Caenorhabditis elegans: one gene and its partners. The protein of the gene in region 2 purifies or fractionates together with the protein of the main gene of each other region. This does not show direct contact. Each region holds a gene or a part of one and is shown on either strand. Other genes may lie near its edges.

The links.
Region 1: the proteins of F31F7.2 (region 2) and gck-4 fractionate together in Caenorhabditis elegans (co-fractionation; one large-scale study listed by BioGRID). This does not show direct contact.
Region 3: the proteins of F31F7.2 (region 2) and lsm-5 fractionate together in Caenorhabditis elegans (co-fractionation; one large-scale study listed by BioGRID). This does not show direct contact.
Region 4: the proteins of F31F7.2 (region 2) and F16G10.2 fractionate together in Caenorhabditis elegans (co-fractionation; one large-scale study listed by BioGRID). This does not show direct contact.

Annotation. Positions count from the first base shown.
Region 1 is NC_003284.9:13,675,313-13,682,860, reverse strand, and holds gck-4 (Protein kinase domain-containing protein), read right to left. Parts: upstream 5,602-7,548; coding exon 5,527-5,601; intron 5,477-5,526; coding exon 5,231-5,476; intron 4,989-5,230; coding exon 4,717-4,988; intron 4,660-4,716; coding exon 4,026-4,659; intron 3,928-4,025; coding exon 3,531-3,927; intron 3,461-3,530; coding exon 3,215-3,460; intron 3,109-3,214; coding exon 2,484-3,108; intron 2,358-2,483; coding exon 1,782-2,357; intron 1,735-1,781; coding exon 1,506-1,734; intron 1,463-1,505; coding exon 1,310-1,462; intron 1,260-1,309; coding exon 1,122-1,259; intron 891-1,121; coding exon 783-890; 3' UTR 521-782; downstream 1-520.
Region 2 is NC_003283.11:6,269,169-6,275,442, forward strand, and holds F31F7.2 (VWFA domain-containing protein), read left to right. Parts: upstream 1-1,683; 5' UTR 1,684-1,766; coding exon 1,767-2,111; intron 2,112-2,161; coding exon 2,162-2,425; intron 2,426-2,868; coding exon 2,869-3,055; intron 3,056-3,502; coding exon of another isoform or gene 3,503-3,608; intron 3,609-3,958; coding exon 3,959-4,075; intron 4,076-4,146; coding exon 4,147-4,419; intron 4,420-4,461; coding exon 4,462-4,781; intron 4,782-4,827; coding exon 4,828-5,118; intron 5,119-5,406; coding exon 5,407-5,679; 3' UTR 5,680-5,743; downstream 5,744-6,274.
Region 3 is NC_003283.11:15,568,875-15,571,208, forward strand, and holds lsm-5 (U6 snRNA-associated Sm-like protein LSm5), read left to right. Parts: upstream 1-1,505; coding exon 1,506-1,781; downstream 1,782-2,334. Other genes in the region: acs-2 (Medium-chain acyl-CoA ligase ACSF2, mitochondrial), read left to right, coding at 1-250, 483-599, 647-811.
Region 4 is NC_003280.10:2,373,258-2,376,928, forward strand, and holds F16G10.2 (DUF281 domain-containing protein), read left to right. Parts: upstream 1-2,015; coding exon 2,016-2,129; intron 2,130-2,251; coding exon 2,252-2,494; intron 2,495-2,545; coding exon 2,546-2,730; intron 2,731-3,055; coding exon 3,056-3,074; 3' UTR 3,075-3,154; downstream 3,155-3,671. Other genes in the region: F16G10.3 (Lipoprotein), read left to right, coding at 501-637, 682-881, 1,048-1,063.

The DNA of each region.
Region 1 (7,548 bases), on a different chromosome or scaffold from region 2:
AAAATTTAAAACGCTAAAAAAAAAAAAAAATTTATAACATGTTTTATAACAAAACAGTAAGATGGTTGAATCGGGATAAAACGTATGAAAAAAAGAGTGGCTATGAAACACTCCTAATCTAGGAGATTTTATAAATTAGGAAAAGAAATGAGAAAAAAAGTTGTTGTAAGGAAGGAAAACATAACAATGTCTAGTTGGAAGATTTTGCTAATTATTAATTAACATACAGGTATGGTTAAGATTATTAAGGTTGTCATGCCTTAAAATAAACCCTCCCAACCTAGTTTTACATTAAAAAGAAACGAGAGCAGTCATTTACAAAAACTGAGTGGAGATCCAAAAATCGCAATTATTAGCATTTTGGAGAGAGAATTTGTAACAAAACAGGGGGGGGGGGCTAGGGTTTTGATTAATTGTGAGAGAAAACAAAGAGGAACCAAATTGGAATGGCGCCATCTTCAAATAAACCGTAGGGACAAGAGAAATGTTTGGGAAGTGAGGATTTGGGGGGGGGGGGGGGGAAGGCATACAATTTTAAGACACTTGATTAAAAAATGACCCATCTAGACACATAAACTAGCAATATACCCATTTCGGATCAACAAAAAAAAGTAGAAAAGTTGGATTGTATATAGTAAAACCACGGGGATGAGAAGAATGGAGACTCGAGGCAGGTGTCGAATGTGGTAAGGCACTGGTTGGGATGGGAGACAAAAACTGAATGGGAATGACAAATGGAATAAAGCAAAGGAACGTAGAAATGAGTCAGAAGCATAGAGCGTTCAAGGCATGTGACGGCCAGACAGCGTTGAGGCCTGAGACGAAGTGTACGACATTCCGTAGAACACTTCCTGCTTTGAGAGTTCGTCCTCAAACTTCTCCTCGAGCACCTGTAAAAACAAATAGATTAAAAATAAATTATGCATTTCATACAATTGAAATTATTTAAAAATTCACATGTTTTCGGGAATTGCAACAGCAAGTTACAAAAAAAAATGTTTAAAATTTAAGCTGTCTTTAAAAATGCCTCGTAATCGAGTAAGGTTCTTTTTAAAAAATTTTTAAAACTCTGCACGTTTACAAACTCCGAACACTTTTTCAGAAAAGTAGCCAAATCCTACCGTTTTCCTTGCAATCAAATTCTCCTGCCACAGCTCACGCATCTCGTGATACTTTGCCTCGTGCTCCTTCATCGTGTTCCTTTCTTTTTCCAGCAACTGCTTGCGCTTCTCGTTCTGCATCTCATCAAGCTCGATGATCTGTAAATATTTACTTATTCTAGTTGACCTTCCTTTAATCAAAGACATACCGCTTCCTGGTGGCGCTCCTTTAATATTTGCAACTTCTTCTGCGACTTCAAATCGTGATCTTCCAATGCAGCTCTCATGCGCAACGCTTCTTGCTCATCGAATCGTCGAATTCGTTCTTGCATTTCCGCGTTTGACATGTTCTTGAAATCATACTTATTCAATAGAATCATATTGTTCTTTAAAAAATGTACTTACCACTGCACTGATTCGCAGGCTCTCTTTGAACATCACACTACGAGTTTTCGTCTCAGAGCGCAACATTTTCGGTAGCTTTTTACGATCGAGTGTTAGTGCTCTGATGAGATCGTCTTCCTCTTCTTGATGAATCTTCTCGATTTGAGCCATTTCACGTTGGTGTCTAGCAAGCATTTGTGTGCGGAGAAGGTAGTATTCATCCTTGAATAGTTTTCGATGAAGTACAAATCTGAAAATTTAAAGCTTAATGAAAAACTAATTTACAGAAAAACCCACTTCTCTCTCATTTGCTTATCTTCCAACTCCCAAATGTTATTTTCTTTTGCTCGGAGCAAATTGTGCTTCTGCATCAGGAACTGCTTTTCAATAGATGCCATTCTTTCCTTATGCTTTTCAGCCATTCGTTGAAGCATTGCCTCCGCATTCTGTTGAAGTTGCATCAAAAAGTCCTTCTCCTTGAGTTGATGCTCAATCTCAATTTGCTCCTTCCGTTGCTTCAACGCATCTTTTCTCTGAACCTTTGAGAGCATCGTCAACTCTTGCTTAAATATCTTCATTTCTTGCTTCAGACGCTCTTTGAACGCTCGCATATCCTTCTCCTGTTCGATTCGGAGACGCTTTTGCGCATTTCGTAGTTCATGCTCCTGGGCACCTTCAGTGTCTTCAATCTCTTTTCGTTGACGGCGTTCCATAGCATCCATCTCTAGTTCCGATGTTCGTGTCAAGTTTGTTTGCTCCGATGTGAACTTTCTGGCTTGCTCTTCGACAAGCTTGATTCCCTCGGCCTGGAGTTCTTGCTTTTGACGGGCTTCGTCACGTTGAAGGCGTCTCAGATCGTGGAGTTGTTGCTTTCTGAAACTATCAGAACGTTAGTGGCGGGATTTGGTTTTCAACTTTTTTAAAATTGAATTGTCATTTTCGCATTTTGCTCACACATTAAATTTTCAGCATTTAAGTAAAATTTAATAGAAGGTATACCTTTGTACTTTATCATCCTTAACACCCAACACATGAACTGTGGTAGATGTGACTTGAACACCATCAATCATATACGTCCTAGTCTTTTTAGTAATTGTCTGCCGATTTCCATCTTTTCTCCCGCCAAGCGGTCTCGGAGCAACGTTTGAGTTTGTCTTCTGAACATCTGTAGATGTTGACGGAGTTGGTACAGGTTTTTGGGAGATTTTAGGAACTGGCACAGGCGAAGGAGCTGCATTCTCTTTAGCATTTCCTTCATAGTCTACTGGCGGCTCGGGTGGTGGGACTTTCTGCTCGCCATTGCGTCTTGGTCCATCAAAGTATTCTGGCACGGCGGACACTGATGTTGGGACATAATCTGTCGATGATGATGCAGAGTGTTGAACAACAGAGTTTGATGAACCACTCGTCCTCACAGATTGATTTGATTCGGCGCGTTTTGGAGGAGAAGCTCTAGTTTTTGTTGGAGTTGAGGCTGATGACACTCTAAGTTCCGTCTTTTGTTGAGCCATGTCCCGTACTGTCAAACTGGCTGACATATCTTGAGATGGTTTCTTAAAGAGTGCATTTGAGTGTTGAACCGCCTCCGCTTCCTCTCTGCTGACTTTTTTCTGGGCAACAATTCCTGAAATGATTTAAAATTGAGATTTGAAGGGGTATGGGTCTCGAAACGATAATAATTAAACATGAGTGCAGTATGTTTTTTTGCTTATACATATTTCAATACAAACCTTCTGGAATTTCCGTGATTGGTTGACTGATTGGTCGTTGCTTCGAATTAGAGCTGTCAGCAATTTTCTCTTCCATTTGAGTTCTAATATTGCTCACAGCATTTGCACGTTCGTTCAACTGAGCTGTAGTCTTTTCCATTTGCTGATGTGCCATCACGTATCCAGCATGCTCCGCGGGCTCCAACTTGTGGAAGGATAAATTAACACTTTCGTCGAAAGAAGATGCTGACTCCGAAGGTGAGAGTTCTGAAATAGTTTAGTTGGTAGAGTTGTTTTGTTATGCAATTAATAATCAAAGTCCTATTCAAATTCTTACGTCTCAACTGTGGACTTAGCGATGGTCTGCTACGGCTAGCCATTATCGTGTCACGAATCGAATGCTCAAACAATTGCTCCTTTTGTGGGGAATTGCGTGGAGAATGGCGCGGAGATTCGTGTGGTGATCGACGTGGAGATTGACGGGGCGACGCACTTGAACGTGGTGAGTTGAAAAATGTTGATCCTTGCTCGTCGTCCAATGTGGTGGTAAGCTCATCGAGAATACTGAGCGCTTCTCTGCGTGGACTGACAAACTCGTTGGCAGATGAAGGACTGCCGCTGGTATTGAGGCTAAGAACTGCTGGCGTGGAGAGTTGCGCACTACTCTTGTTGGTAGATGGTGTGGAGAACTCGGCAGTTCCTTCTGATGATGTGTTGCTGTTAGAGAAGGAGAACTGAAAGTTTTAAAGATTATTGTAGGAAATTACATGCCAGAGCATGAATTCAGTTTCTCTGTGCTAGTAACACAATCTACAAATGTATAACGACAAACCTCTGCAAAACTCGAATTCTCTGCTGGTTTCCCATTCACTACTGGCGACTGCCGATGAGCATTGACTTCTTGTGGTGGTGGCGGAGCAGCTCTCTTTTTGTGAGGAGTATCTGGTGGAGGTGTCTCAATGATGGGTACCGATACAATGGGAACTTTGAACCCATCACTAGTAGCCGGTCGAGGGCTATCAGAAGCCGAACTCCAGCTATCACCACGACGTTGAGAAATCTCATCGGATCCTGCCACTGATTCCTCATCACCATCAATGACAACTTCTTCTTGAACATCTGCGTACATTTCGGCGAGTAGATCCATAATCATTTTTCGTTTTGATGGAGCATTTTGGAACCACTGATGTTTGAAGATTTCAGCTGCCGGTGGACGATTTCTGGGATCCTTGACAAGGCATCGTGTGAGAATGTCACTGAAGGACCGGGTCCAGTGAGATGGTTGGAGAAGCGTTGGCGGCTCTGATTTCTGCACTTTGATAATAACTCTCATAACAGAAACGTCTGAATGCGGGGGCTCTCCTTGGGCCATTTCAATGAGTGTGATTCCAAAAGACCAGATATCCGAAATACAATCGTATGGCTGATCCTTGAAAGTCTCGCAAGCCATAACTTCCGGAGCCATCCTGGAAAGAATAATTTTTTCAGTTTTAAACCGTGATTTTAATATACATGTTACTTACCAATACGGTGTGCCAATAAATGTGTCTCTCTTTTCACGTTCACTCTTCAACTTCGCCGAAACTCCAAAATCGGCAAGTCGAACCTGACCGTCTTGGGTGAGCAAAATGTTGCCAGCTTTCAGATCACGGTGAATCACATTCTGGGAGTGTAGCCACTTGAGTGCATCACACACGTAGTATCCGATGTATCGGATTTGATCTTCCTTGAGTACATGTCCCAGCTCGACAATGATGTTGTCAACAGCACCACCTCCACAAAACTCGAGAAGCATCTGGAAACGATGAACAATTAAAAGGTTAGGGATAATCAGTATAACCCTCACTATTTTGTGATATTAATATTAGTTGCTTTATATTTTCTGGAAAAGTTCCAGCGCGCAAAAATTCTAAGAATCGATGAGAGTACACTAAATGGGATATGAAAATAGTACTACACAAGGAAATGCTCTTTCATTCTAATTTCAAACTTAAAACTTTACACATGTTTGGACCAAAACCTTATTCAGAAACTCACCGTCAGTTTATTTTCAAAAAAATAAGTAGAATAGAGTCCTAACATAACAGGATGACCCTTGCATTCGCTGAGAATTTCGATTTCAACAAGGAAATCTTCCAGTTCTTCGCCTTCTTGAATTTCAATAGACTTTGATGCGGCAAAAAGTTTGGGATCCGTCCGTGACACTGCTTTTTCAACTTTTCCAAATGCTCCATCGCCAAGCTCTCCAATAATGTTCCAGTGATCGCGTGGGTTCACATTGTCCTGAATTATTGGAATCTTGGTTTTCATTTGAAAAAAACTTGTGAACTCACATAAATGTAACTAGGTAACTTCTTCTCCGCTTGATTGGCACGAAACAAGTTTTTGACTTTATTCAAAAACGCCATGGTGGCTAAAAAGAAAGGTGAAGCGACGGCGAATGCAGTCACACCTCCTTTTATACAACGCGACCTCTGGAAAAATCGGGGTTGAACATATGTTGTGATTATCAATGTTGACGGATAGAGAAAGTGCAGTAAAAAAAAGCGCGAACACATGACGGTTTGTTCACATACAAATATGTAAGATGCGAGAAGAAAAAAATGGAAAAAAATGGCTACACTAAAACGGGAGAAGTGTAGGAGGGAAAGCAAGAGAAAGTGATTCAGTGGTAAAAATGCATGATAAACTTTGACGGTAAATAATATTTTTTTTGTTGCTTTTGAAACTAAATGAATGCTATCTGATTCAATCATGTACTTTAAAAAAAACACTTAAAGTACAAAATAGGTTCAGAGCTCCGTTTCATGCATATTTTATGTGAATTAAAAAATGCCGGTCATAAAATGAAATACATTGAAAATTTGAGAGTTGTTTTGGGAAAGCAGGTCAAAAGGGTAATTCAAGTGGAAAATGCATAAGTATTGAGAGATCACATTTCTAGATATTAGAAACTGGATAAAACAGCAAAAAATTGCAAATAAAACGTTTTGAGCTTTTCAGGAATGCGGGTAAATATTTGTAGTTTTTCATTTTTCCGAAAAATTTATTTTGACTGAAAATGTGTGTTTATACTGACTAACCGAAAGCAATGAGTAACAAGGAAAACAGTGTCTTTGAAGAGAATAGGAAACATTCTAGATTAAAAATTGTTGAATCTTATTTTTTCAAAAGATTTGTCATTTGTATAGAAAAACCTGGAATATAGAAAATCCTGGTATAAAAAACTGTAAAAACAATAACATTCGAATACAAATTCAATGCTAAAAACTCCAACAGGTTTGTTATTCTAATTTTAAATGAAGAATGACTCTTTTTAAGCGCTTTGAATACAATGAAGTTTGATCAATTTGACCGCCGAATTTAAGATTTCCTACACCTACTTCGTACAAACAAGTTCAGGAAAAATGGCAAAGTTGACAAGCCCTGTGATAAATAATAAAGTTACAAGGAAATACAGTGATTTCAAGAAGCTACATGGATTGAAAATAGTTTCTGAAACAAAAACCATAGAAGGGCATATGATGTCTAGTGCTGAGCGCTATCTAAAATTGAGTGGGCAAGAATTTTAGAAGAATTTTAAATTAAGATAATCCGATCAATAATTGATAATTATACTCTTCAATTTTTGACCGCATTTTATACAAACAGAGACAAAAAAAACCTCACTCTCTCTCTTACACAATCGTGTCCTTCTTTTCCGTCCGACAAAAACAGTATTTTCAACAAGTGGCCCCCTACCGGCCCACGGCCCGTCTGTACGCGCACACACAAGAGTAGTGAAGGAGGGGGGATGAAAAAAGATCGGAACGAGAGACAGAAATACAGACGCCAGGACACCTTTTGTATATACTCCAACCTTTCTTTTCCATAAAAGACGAGCGGGAATAAAAGGAAGAGACTCGGGAATGAGTGGAAGAGGGAGAAAGAGAAGCGGTGAGAGAGAGAGAGAGAGAGAGCAGTGCAAGCAAACTATACGGCAGTAGCAGAGAGAAATAGGTATTGCCGCCCGCCGCCCGCCAAAGTCGAACCGAAACTGACTGGGTGTCGGAAGACGACTCAAACTCAACTCAACTGTGACAGTGTTGGTGCGGCGAGACAGTGGCGGATATGCAGACACGCAGGTGGTTAGAAAAATTGAGAATGTGAAACTGTGCGCGCGCGGGACACAGGTATATAGATAGTAGGTAGTGGGAGGGAGAGGGAGCATAGATTAAAAAGGAACGCAGGATGAGAGGCAAAGAGAGAGGGGGAGGTCGATTGACCGTATGAGATAGGGATGGTTGGGCATCCCGAGAAGTTTGTAAAACTTGGAACGAAACTTTGACTGGGTCAAAACCAAGAAGAGTTTTAAA
Region 2 (6,274 bases):
TATTTTGAGCGGTGTCACACGAATTTTGATAAGAGGCACCAGTTGGAGAACATATGTGACATTAAACTAATTAAAAATAATTTACTTGCCATTCTAGGTCGAATGGTGAGGCGTTGCGTTTTTTCTGTCAAAATATTGAAATGCTAAAAAAGCGATTTGGGATTGGGTTTAATTCCATTTCACTAAACGGCAAAAATTGCTTATGCCAATATTCTGATGATAATGAAAAAGGTCTTCCTGCTGGACCTCTGAAAAATGCCAACATCTCATTTTCTAAAATATCGTGTTTTCTCTAATAGACTTGCTCTACTTTAACGGATTATATATGAGGTGTCTTAAAATTTATCAAAAAACGTTATACTGCAAAAAACGTAGAGAAACATTTTTCACGTGTTTTGTCAATTGAGAATTTTTGGTGAGCACGTAGAAACCAGAGATGTAGGCTGTCAGAGTAGAACAAGGGTACATGTCTAATAGGGAAATACGATTTATGGTGCCACAATAAGTATGTAGAGCTGGTCCTTTCATCATTAAAAAAATTCTATGCTTTTCAGGTTTGCGACGCATTCGTAAAATTGATAGAATCAATTAATCGTTTTGCTTCAAGAATATCAAAATATCAATTTCTCAAAACTATAATAAGCAGTTTATTTTATTGGTTCAATTGAGTATATTTTTTCGAGTTAATTTTTTCATTAATAATTTTTCAATAATAATTTCATTAATCAATAATATTTTTGAGTAATCAATCGCTGAGAGGAAAATTTTCAAATTTTATGCCAAAAAGTTTCTGAACCGAAACTGTTGCAATATTTATACGTTCAAGTGCAAAATAAATATTAAATGGTATACGGAGATAACAATTTCCTATAAAATAGAATAACTTGAGACTATCAAAGGTAATTTAAGAAACATTTGAATGAATCTATTTCTGAGAGAGCCGACAAGCTTATGCCAAAGACAAAAGAGATAACACGCGTGCCGCAAAAATCATATTCAGGAAGTCCTTGGTCGTTTTGACTGGAGTCACCACTAATGTCAATAATCACTAAGCAAACTATAGTACTTACATAAGTGCGCAAATTGTGCAGAAAGAGGAAGAGACAGTGAGAGCATCTCTCTCTCTCTTCCAAAACTCCAGCAATGAGCAGTTGCTCGTAGAAAGAAGAACTGGTCACAAGGCACCGGTCGGGAGACGCGGTGAAGTGGTTTGCCGGACGGATGAAATTGTCAGGAAGAAGGAAGAAAACGATGAGAAGGAGGGGGAAGTGATAAATATTGCGTGGACAGATGTTCTCGATCTGTATGTGCATACTCGTGAGTGGACATTTGAAACGTGTTGAAGAGAAATAGAGAATGACACAAAGAGGATTGAGTAACATAAACAGGATTTGCATTTACAATTAGACCGTTGTTTCTTTCTATCTCTTTAGGTTATTTAGGACTCATACTGTCCGTTTGGTTTCCAAAATCAATTCACCTTTGAAAAAAATTGTTTCTCTATCAGAGAGCAGTAAAAAATGAATATTGAATCTATGAAGGTGCAATAAAAATAGGTAATCAAAGTCGTAATCGAAAACATATTTCGTAGCCAATATTGAGAGCAACACAACTTGATATTTTGGAGTGATCATACCATGGAGACTGTAATTGAGATAGTGCGAGTTTAGAATTTTTTTCTAGAACTTTCTTCCATTTTCTCCGTCAGTCATTCGAACCAGTAATACCAAAATTGTTCCGAGACAACACAAATTGCTCATTTATTTATGAGGGCTCTAAAGCAACTATACAACTTTGGAGACATCCAAAAAAAGATTCATCGGCATCACACCACACCTCTTAGCAACAGGACAACAAAGCAAAAAAACGAGAAAAAAGAAAGAAAAAAAACGAGAGAGCAACAATTTTTAGTTGCTTTTTTGTTATATCCCCACTCACAAAAACGACATAAGATGCCTCATAGATTATTACTGTACTGTATTGTTATATTACTGGAAGTGAATTTAGTGATAGGATGCATTTGGCCTGAAGTAGATGCTCTCTTCATTTTAGATTCAACACCACAAATAACATCCTTCCAGCATCGCGCGGAGATTGACTTTTTGAGACAGGTTGGTTCCAAATTTAATTAAATAGAATTATGATCTATAACTTTTTACAGGTAATGTCCACTATGAAAATGGGATCTTCGAAAGTCGCAATGGCTCAGTTTACACCTTGGTCTAGAATTGAGTGGAGTCTTGCTAACTCGACATACCCAGAATCAAAAGTTCAAGAAGCACCATATTGTCCATGTGAATTAGAAACTTGTCCAACTACGAGTATAAATGCATTAACAAGATCTACAATGAATACAGCAAATAGGAAATCAGTTCCAGACGTGATTCTGGTCATTTCTAACAGTTATCAGCCATTGATAGAAGTGGTAAGTGTTAGCGTTGTCCCGGACTATGAAATTAAAAAAATCGGCTAACGACTTACTCATTATTTTGTAGTTTTACATATTTTTCCTACTTGGAACTTGGAGCAACTGTTTTCCAAAAATACTAACTTGGCTCAGAAGTTGGCAAGACTTGGCCAAGTGTTGCAAACTTCTGAACTAATTGTAAGATAATATTTTTTGGCCAAATTGCTTTAAACAAAAAGTTGCGCCAAATGCCTATTATAATCAGAACAGCTACGTTTAGTTTGCCGTTAAGGAAGCTATCGCAAATGAAGTTACGAGTCACGATGTGGTAGGTCGCCTTCTAGGCGAATTTCGCCTGCATGTAGGCAGTGCCTACTAAGCACTCGATTTATGATACTTTGGAAATTTATGAGAATTCTAGCAGTTAGACCGTTCCTCAAAACTCATTCCTGATTTTCCAGCTTCCAAACGAGCCACTCATCTCGCCTACGTCACCACTCCATGTTTTTTACGTGGTTATCGGCTCAAATATGCATGTTTCTCGATTTGAACCATCGGCGCACACAGTTGGAATCAAAGTCACAGATTTTGAACATCTTCCTCATTTGGTTGCTCCATTGTGCCAGAGTGTGAATGCTTATATTAAAGGTCAGTTATTTGAAATAAACATGTTTATGCTGTGTCGTGCCCCAAAAAGATATATCATTTCTGCTAATAATGGTAACTTTATTAAAATCTGAAGTTCATGTGTTTTTCTAGACTGACTATTAGGAAATTACCATTCCTCACCTTATATTCCTAGTTGAAGCTCAATATCAATCGAAAAATAAAATCTGATCGTGGAATAGTATGATAAAAATCTATTATCTCTTTTCATTTCGTAACATTTTCCAAATCTAGACATCTCCTCGCTTTCCTATTTTTTAGTGTTTGGTGTCATCTTTTTCTACGAGCCTGTTTCTCTTTTTCCAAAGAGCCCATCGCGTTGTCATGGGTGTCCAAAGTCGCAATAGTGAGACGGAAGGCATTCCTTTTTGACCACCCGACATATACGATTTGTATTTTTTCTTTTAAATCTAACTGAAAGTTTTATGGATGAGTAAAATAATTGCTGATGTTTCGTGGTGGAACTTTTTGAATTGGAACTCCACTAGTTGTCATCGTCAAAACGCCGAACAGACAGTGTTCTGGACAGTTCCATGTAAGTTTAGATAACGCTGGGTGGTTCTCATTCAGAAAATGTATTAAATATTTATAATAACTAGAAGGAATATATTTGAGAATTTACTAAAATAATTCCAGTCTGTAGACTGACAATTTCGAGAATAAACGCTTGGCACATATCTGACTTCCTACAGGCCTACCTACAGTCTGTTTTCTGCAATTTATTGTGGGCTCAGGTGTTAAGAATTTACCCAAAAACGAGGAATTGATTATAAGTTTTTTGGCAGTAGGCACAGACGTAGGCTCGAGAGAGGCGAAGGTCGCCTTGGAACAGGTGGAAGATAATTTGCATGCCTACGTTTATTCAACGTATTATCTGTTTTTCAGGCTCTTCATCTACTCGATTCGGTCCACTCTGTTGGATTATTATTGCTTCTATTTTATTTTTTGCTATTATCCTGACAGCTCTATTGGCCTACGCAATTTACAGCTACCACGAAGAGAGTTAGTTTTCTTAATTTTTTCTAAAATTTCACATAATGCAAACATTTTTTGTTTGTACCACAAAACTTCAGATCGCCGCTTGCGTCACCGAGTAACAGAGTCGGAGAGGCAACTTCGGAAACAAAACGAATATTTCACTTCTCAACTTCATACCGAGATGCAGAAACAGATAACATATGGAGAAAAGCACGCGGAGGAGATGAAGAAGCAACAGGATATGATGCAAGCTCAGTTCGATCGTCAGCTAGATATGGCCTACCAGCAAGGATCCAAAATTCAAATTTTACCGCCATTCAATCAAAATCCACATTTCCACGATCATTCGGAGCATACAGGAAAGGAAAGCTTTTGAGTGTTTCTTTTACAAATTCTCATATACATTTCAGGAGGACGAGGAAAAGAGCACAGAAGAGACTCCGGTATTGCGTCACCAAGAACTCCGAGAGATGTAGAGATTCAGGTGACTCCTATTCCAAGTCCTGTGCATAATGGAAGTGATGGGAAAGATGATGCAACTTCTTCTGGAACACCAGAAAGTATTGAAAGTTCGGGCAGTGATGTCACTGAAACGACTGAAGATGATTTGGAAGAGTTGAATCGAAGAACACACTTACCAAGAGACCATCCAGCAAGAAAGCTTCTTCCAATTGACTTGATGTTCTTAGTGGATACTTCAAGCAGTATAGGGATAAACAACTTTGATATTGTAGGTTTAAGTACTTTAAAATCAGGTTTGCAGTTCAAATTTTCAGCAAAAGAACTTCATTTGTGAAATACTGAAAGATGTTGATATTGCTCCCGGAAGATCTAGAATAGCAATGATTCAATATTCTCAAGATCCGAGTGTCGTATTCGGCTTCGATCAATACTATTCGTATGAAAGTGTTCGTCGAGGCGTGATGAGACTTTCCTATACCGGAGGAGCAACAATGCTATCGAAGGCGTTGGCTTTTGCGGGTGGAATAATGTATCATGAGCAGAACTTGAAGAAGACCACGAAAAAGCATCAGTACTTACCAACTCCCAAACATGACAGACTTCAGGTAAATTTGTATTGTGTCCGTTGTATTGCTTTTATTTTGAAACAAGAAAAAAAGTTCAATTAAAATAGCCATCAATCTTTTGTGATTTCGTAATTTTGTAGATAGTAAATTTTGAAAGTGTTCAAACAACTAATGCCAAAATGTCAATAAAACTACATGTATGGTTTAATTTTTTTGAATAAAGATTTTAGAAAAAAGATCATTTAGTCGATCAAAATATTGAGATTTTTAAAAGATTCTCTCTCCTATTCTCAAGTCTTCAAGCTTGAACAAAAAGCCTAATTACAGGTGCTCTGCCTCGTTTCGGACGGCTATTCGGATGATAATGCTGATAAAGAAAGTGTGAATCTTCATGATCATCTTCATGTAAAGATCTTCGCAGTGGTAACCAGATCATTCAATAAAGACAAGCTGGCACCAATCACGAGGTTCGACGGAAGTGTGTTCACCGTGCACCAGAGAGAAAGTGTTGCAATTTGGCTGTGGAGGCAGCAAAGAATATGGGCCGAACATTATAGCGCTTTCATTGAAAAAGAAAAGAAAAGAGGTTCAAGGAGATAAGATTTAACTTGATGCGGTTTTCAAAAAAGATTGTCTTTCATTATAATAATTCACTCAATAAACTGTTCATCGGGATTCATATACCAAAAGTCACATAAAATATTTCAGGTACAAAGCTAACGTTTATTTTTTCGCAAATCTTCCACACAATGGAGATGGTAAGAAGTTTGTTAGGCCGAACGTTTAATTAGTTTCAATAAGAAGATTCTGATTGTGAGCACTATTAAAAATTTTATAATAATAACATTTTTGGTGTCCACAAAACAGGTTCCTGTTTTTAGTTCTTTCCAGCTTTGTCCATTATTCTGTCACATTTTCGTCTCACTTCTCGCCTACGCGACCGTTCATTTACTATTTATTACAACCTTTCCCATTATTCTGTAACGTTTTCCAAGCTTTCATCTGTGTTCTTTTAACTTTCTCTATTACCCCCCAATGTTATCTAATTGCTCTTTCTCACCTAATAAAAAAGAGAAAGTTGGCGTCTTGTTTGGAGCTGCAACTGCAATCTTTGCTTATCAGCTTCTTTTCCTGGTTTCCTGATTGTCAGGTGACCGTCGCGACCGTTAAATACCCACCATAATAACTATGACGT
Region 3 (2,334 bases), 9.3 Mb from region 2:
AGCTAAAGGAGAGCTCTGGTCTCGTGGCTACTCGACTATGCTCGGCTACTGGGCCGACCACGACAAGACCAACTTGGCAATTACACGTGATCGCTGGTACAAATCTGGAGATACCGCCACGATGAACGAGGATGGAACTATCAATATTGTCGGTAGAACTCGTGACATGATTGTGAAGGGTGGTGAGAACGTCTATCCGACCGAAATCGAGCAGTTCTTGCATAAGTTGGACTATGTCGCTGATGCTCATGTAAGTTTGGGAGCTTCTATCTTTGCTCTTGGGGGTCCAATCAAAAAGTTTATTAAAATATCAAAAAGTTTATTAAAATAATCTACAGAAAATTCTCTACATTTACTCAGTTGGCAACTTTTTGATACTTGTAACAACTGGCGAGTTATTCTCGTTTAAATCAAGGGCACCATGACTACTTATGGCCTGAACTTCAAACTTATGGCCTAACTTTTCAACAAAAAAATTCCAGGTCGTCGGTGTGCCAGATGACAGGTACGGAGAGAACATCTGCGCCTGGGTGCGTCTTCGCGTTGAGGATGAAGGAAAGATCACCGCGGAGCACATTAAGAAGGCTTGTAAGAGAGGAGTAAGTTATTAATCCATTATTTTAAAATATACAGTCGAAATTTCCAGATGGCTCACTACAAGGTTCCAAAGTACGTGCTCATCAAAAAGGAGTCCGAATTCCCTCTCACAATTTCCGGAAAAGTCAAGAAATTCGAAATCCAAAAGATTTCCAAAGAGCTGTTGGGTCTCGGAACTGTCAAGTCTCACTTCACAGAAGCTGTCGACAATTAAAATCGGGTTGAACATATTTCCTATATTTTAAGTTGCCTTTTCGCTGGGATTTCCTTGCTTTTTACGGTCTAACCGCTATAATTGTAATAGTGACATATTTAACCGGGTTTTTATGTACTCTTCCGTGTATTTGCCATGTATTTAATTGTGAGACTTGTACAGAAATTGCGATTTTCTCTGAATAAATAGCTTTAAAATTCAAAATTCCCTCCAAAAGTGTACAACGACACTCCGAAATGACGCATAGTCGCCTTGCTTACCGTAAATCGACACACATTTTTTTAAAATCGAAAACATTTTTTTGTTGGATTTTCTTCGTTTTCCCTCGATTTTCTTGGAATTTTGTGAGTTTTTATTGTTAAAATATTTTAAAATTGCATTAATGGTATTGTTTTAACTGTATTTTTCATATGATTTTCGATTATTCCAGCAAAATTCTTGTAGAAACGACTTTTCATCAAAATTTTCTAAAATCGATTGGAAATTAACACGAATTTTACTGAAAATGAAATTTATGTGCAAATTACCGGTGAATTCAGCGAGAAAACATCAAAAATTCTGGAAAAATAGGCTTTGAAAAAATTTTTGTGAGGAAAAATTTTAAAAAAACTTGATAAATATCATCTTTTCCCCTCATTTTTCCTGTTTTTCAGCAATTCCTCTCAAATTTTACCCGATTTTCTTTCCAGAAACCATGGCAACCTCAACATCCACCAACCCAAACACACTTCTCCCACTGGAGCTCATTGACAAGTGCATCGGCTCGAAAATCTGGGTGATAATGAAGAACGACAAGGAGATCGTCGGCACTCTGACAGGCTTCGATGACTACGTGAACATGGTTCTGGAGGACGTCGTCGAATACGAGAACACCGCCGACGGCAAGCGAATGACCAAGTTGGACACGATTCTTCTCAACGGAAATCACATCACGATGCTCGTGCCGGGAGGAGAAGGACCAGAGATTTAATTGATATCTGTGAATATTGTGATTTTCTAATACTTTCTATTTTGCCACGAATCTCTCCGATTTTGAAATAAAAATTGAAGGAAATTTTGGAAAATTTTATAACAGGAACAAAACAGAATGAAGAAGCAAAAAGAAAACAATTTTTTTTAAATCTGTTTTTTCAGCATTTTTCTCTTTTTTTTCTTATCACTTAACAAGTACTTGTACATCTTGCAGGTCTTGTAGGATCATATTCAGCACGTGTTGAGAATAGATAGCAGCTTTCTGATGCTCTAAAAAGGCTTAATTGTTCAGATCGTCCCTGGAAATAATTTTTCGAATTCTGCTCGAGCTGAAAATACAAAAATAATCGCAGAATCGCCCAAAATACGTGAAAAAGTGAAAATACTTATCGTGTTTGATAGCAACCTTAATTTGTCCTGTTAAATGACAAAATTCTTAAGTTGAACTGTATTTATTTTAAGTTTTCTGCCAATTTTTTCCAAAAAATCAAAAAAGTTTCCCGATAGTACTGTATTTCCCAGAATACGTAAATGCGTATAATGTATCATAA
Region 4 (3,671 bases), on a different chromosome or scaffold from region 2:
TTCGCGTTTTCTGGCTAAATTCGTCGATTTTTCTCGATTTTTTCTTCTATATTTGATTTGAAACATTGTTTGTCAATTATGTAACCACTTTTCCGTAAAAAAAAAACTTGAAAACCCTATGGAAAATGTCAGAAATGTCAAAATTGGCCTAAAATCCGCAATTTAATATTTGTTATTAATTTTTTTTCGAAATAACTATTTTAAATAATTGACAAACAATGTTTCAAATCAAATATAGAGAAAAAATCGAGAAAAATCGACGAATTTAGCCAGAAAACGCGACAATATCCAAAATGACGTCATTCATTTGTGATTTTCTCAAAATTGAAAAAATCATAAAAAATTTAGAAAATTTTTTAAAATTTTTTTACAGTTATATTCGGTTATTAGGGTCCATTTTCTGTCATTTAAAGCAAAAAAAAATTTTTAACTCTACTCCACCTTTAAATTAGAGCATCATCACTAACTTTTTCAATGTTTTGATATTTTTACAACTTTAGACGAAGTACAAACTGTTGACCAAGATGGCTGCACTGTATTAAAATGTCCCGCAGGCAAAACTCCAGCTGTCTCTTCTCTTTATGATAAAAGTGAAATACCAGCGCCTATTGATGCTGATGCCGATTATATGACGTTTGTAGGTAAACTCTTTTTCAATCTGAATGCTTAAAATTATTTTAGGGAAGTATAAATAAAGATTCAATGGCCGACATCAACGGAGACATGATTTTTGAATATTTTGGAGCAATGTGTGAAGGCGGTGAATTAATATACACAAATTATCCTGATGGAATAGCGTATGTCAAAGATGGAAACATGGCATATACTGGCCCAGATGCATCGTATAACGGAAAGAAGTCTAAAGTGACTACGATCTATTGGTGGGTCATAAATTTTAAAGTTTCTAGGAAAATTTCAAGTTAGATGTGAGAATAAGGTTTTTTTTAACCGCGAAAACAATTAGAATAAAATTTTTGTTTAAAACTGGAAAGTCTTTAAGTTAGTTTCACAACTCTTATCTCATTTTTGTTGTATTTATTGTTTCAGCACTGATCAAGTGTAAATTGGATGAGGATTGAATTAACAATTGATACATCGTATTTCTCATTTGAATAAAACGATTTGATTTAAAAAAAAATAGCATTGATTTTTACACATTCGCGGAATACAATAATCGACACCCCAAGGGTTGAATATGACCGAGAAATGATACTCAAGACGTAAGAAGTTGAGGAGGATGTATAATAAAAATATCACACAAACCAGACAAGTTTGGGCAAGAAATAGCTTGAAAGGGATCTAATTTAGACGTGTCAAGAACGGTTTTTGGCTGACTTTCTCGAAAACGTTATGGCGGTTCAAAGTTTTTATCTGGATAATGTCTTATTTCTACTGATATACTTCTTGAAATATCTGAACTATCTGGTTTAATTTTCTAAACTCTTATCAGTTAGAATTCTAAGAGACCAGTGTAATTATCATATAATGTACCTGCAAATGGATGCAAAATGGATGCTAATTTCCGGCCACTGTGGAATGATAATCACTTTCTATAAAAATTCTGCCAATATCCCAGAAGAACAAGGGCGATGTACTTCAAAATGTACTTTTTCATGTTTATGACTCTGTGTTTGTTTGGCCACGTGGAAGCCAAATGTATTGCCAACACACCATCAACTGTGAGTTTAATGATTTCATAAAAATGTTATTTTAGAACTAACTTCTTAATAAGTATTTTCAAATATGTACGCCTAGTTTTGACGAATGCATAGTTCGACTAAATTGACTAATTTGCTCTTTTTACTTTCGCCATTCCCTTCTCGAAAGTCGATTCGTATTCATTAGCCCATCCGTCTTTATGACATAATTTATTCCTTTTCCAAACCCAAGACCGCTTTATCGAGGTGTTATTCGGGCTTTTATTACTTCTTTTAATGCTTTACGCATAGGAATAGGAATGGATTAGTAGTTAAAATCATTATATCAAAGTTTTCCTCCCTACTTCTCGTTTTATTATGAATACTGTAACGTCATGTTCCCTTCTGTTATGCTTGATGGTAATAACAGAAAGTTGCATGCGAACAGTTCCACCGGATGAAGCCTATATTCCTGTCACCATGGCTCCTGATGTATGTGATTTTTTTCTGAATTTAAACTGCTATGGAAGCGCTTCCAATATTCCAATTTTCTTAAAGAATTGTCATTCGGAAATCTGTTAAAAAATCAGTTTTAAAAAAAATCAAGTATTTAGGAATGCCTGGACATCAAAACTTCGCCGTGTGGAGATTTGGAATCGTTGTTTGAAAGTAAGTCCATTATCCATTTTCGATTTTCTCTCTCCATTATCGTTTTCTCTCTCACACCCGTGGAGCACGTTGAGAAAGACGGCTGCGAAGTGTTAACTTGTCCCGATAACCAAGTGTTTCTTGCACTCTCTTCTTTTGATAAAAGTGAAGTACCACGGCCATCTGAAGTGCCGGAAACCCAATCATTTGTGAGTGAAAGGATAATATCTTTCATCGGAAAAGTATGAAACAATTTATAGCAAATCACCTCAAAATTGACGGGAACCGATGGTGAGAGTATAACTGACCTTTTGGGAATCATTTGTGATGGCGATAAATGGATGATCACGAAATATCCAATTGGATTTGCTGCACCTCCTGCTGGTTTAATTGGTGCAGATGGTTCGATGGATGGGAAAAAATCTGAAGTTTTAAAGTTGGCGTGGTAAGTGGGGGCCTATTTAAAAATTATGATTGTTACTGAGAATTTCAAAAGATTGAAGTAAACTTAGCGTTTTATTCAGTTGAAAACAGTAGTTGTACATATGCAAACTGTTTTGTCTTGAAGAAAAAAACAAAAAAAATTGTAAAATTGTGTTACAAACCTTGAGGTTTGTCTACACTTTGCAGTGAGTTGTTGGGGATTAGCTTGATTTAGAATTAGCTAGATATAGATATTAGCTAGATTTAGGAATCTATAAAAAGTAAACTACACACTGTTATTATGTGGACTTTCAAGTTATTTCCATAGTATTTTTTTTTTGTTTCAGTGCTGATATTTCCGGATAGGTCTATGGATGGAGAACAAGTTACTGGATTATTCATTTACATTATTCTTGTTCTGCGAATAAACAATTTTTGAAACATGTATAATTTTGTGTACAGACCAAAAATGAATATATGTTAAAAAATAAGTTAGCAAAAAGTGATGTCAATTTGCATTCCCGGGTGAAACGGTACAACTCACAATTAGAACAATACATAAATGTATTGAAAAGCATTCCAAATTTTCATCTCGTGATACATGAGCAGTGTTCTAGAGAACACAAAAATATAAGAGTTGAATTTTTTCCCCCGTTTCAGCGACTTTTTATTTATTTCCTTTGTCTTATACAATACTTTCCAGCATGAATTTTTCATACTGCAGACGGGATCATTTATCGTTTTATGACTTGCCTAAAACGCGGATCAAGCTGGCTCTAAAAATAGTGGCTCATAAATTATTTAAGATCTACTAATTTAATTTGAGTCTAGTTTGCCACCTCATGAATTGGAGGAAGAATGCGAAGTTACATTTGTAAATGATATTTATATCGTATTTCTCCTTTGATTAAAACAATTTATTTTGAATAAAGAGTATTAGTTCTTACACAATACAGGAATGCA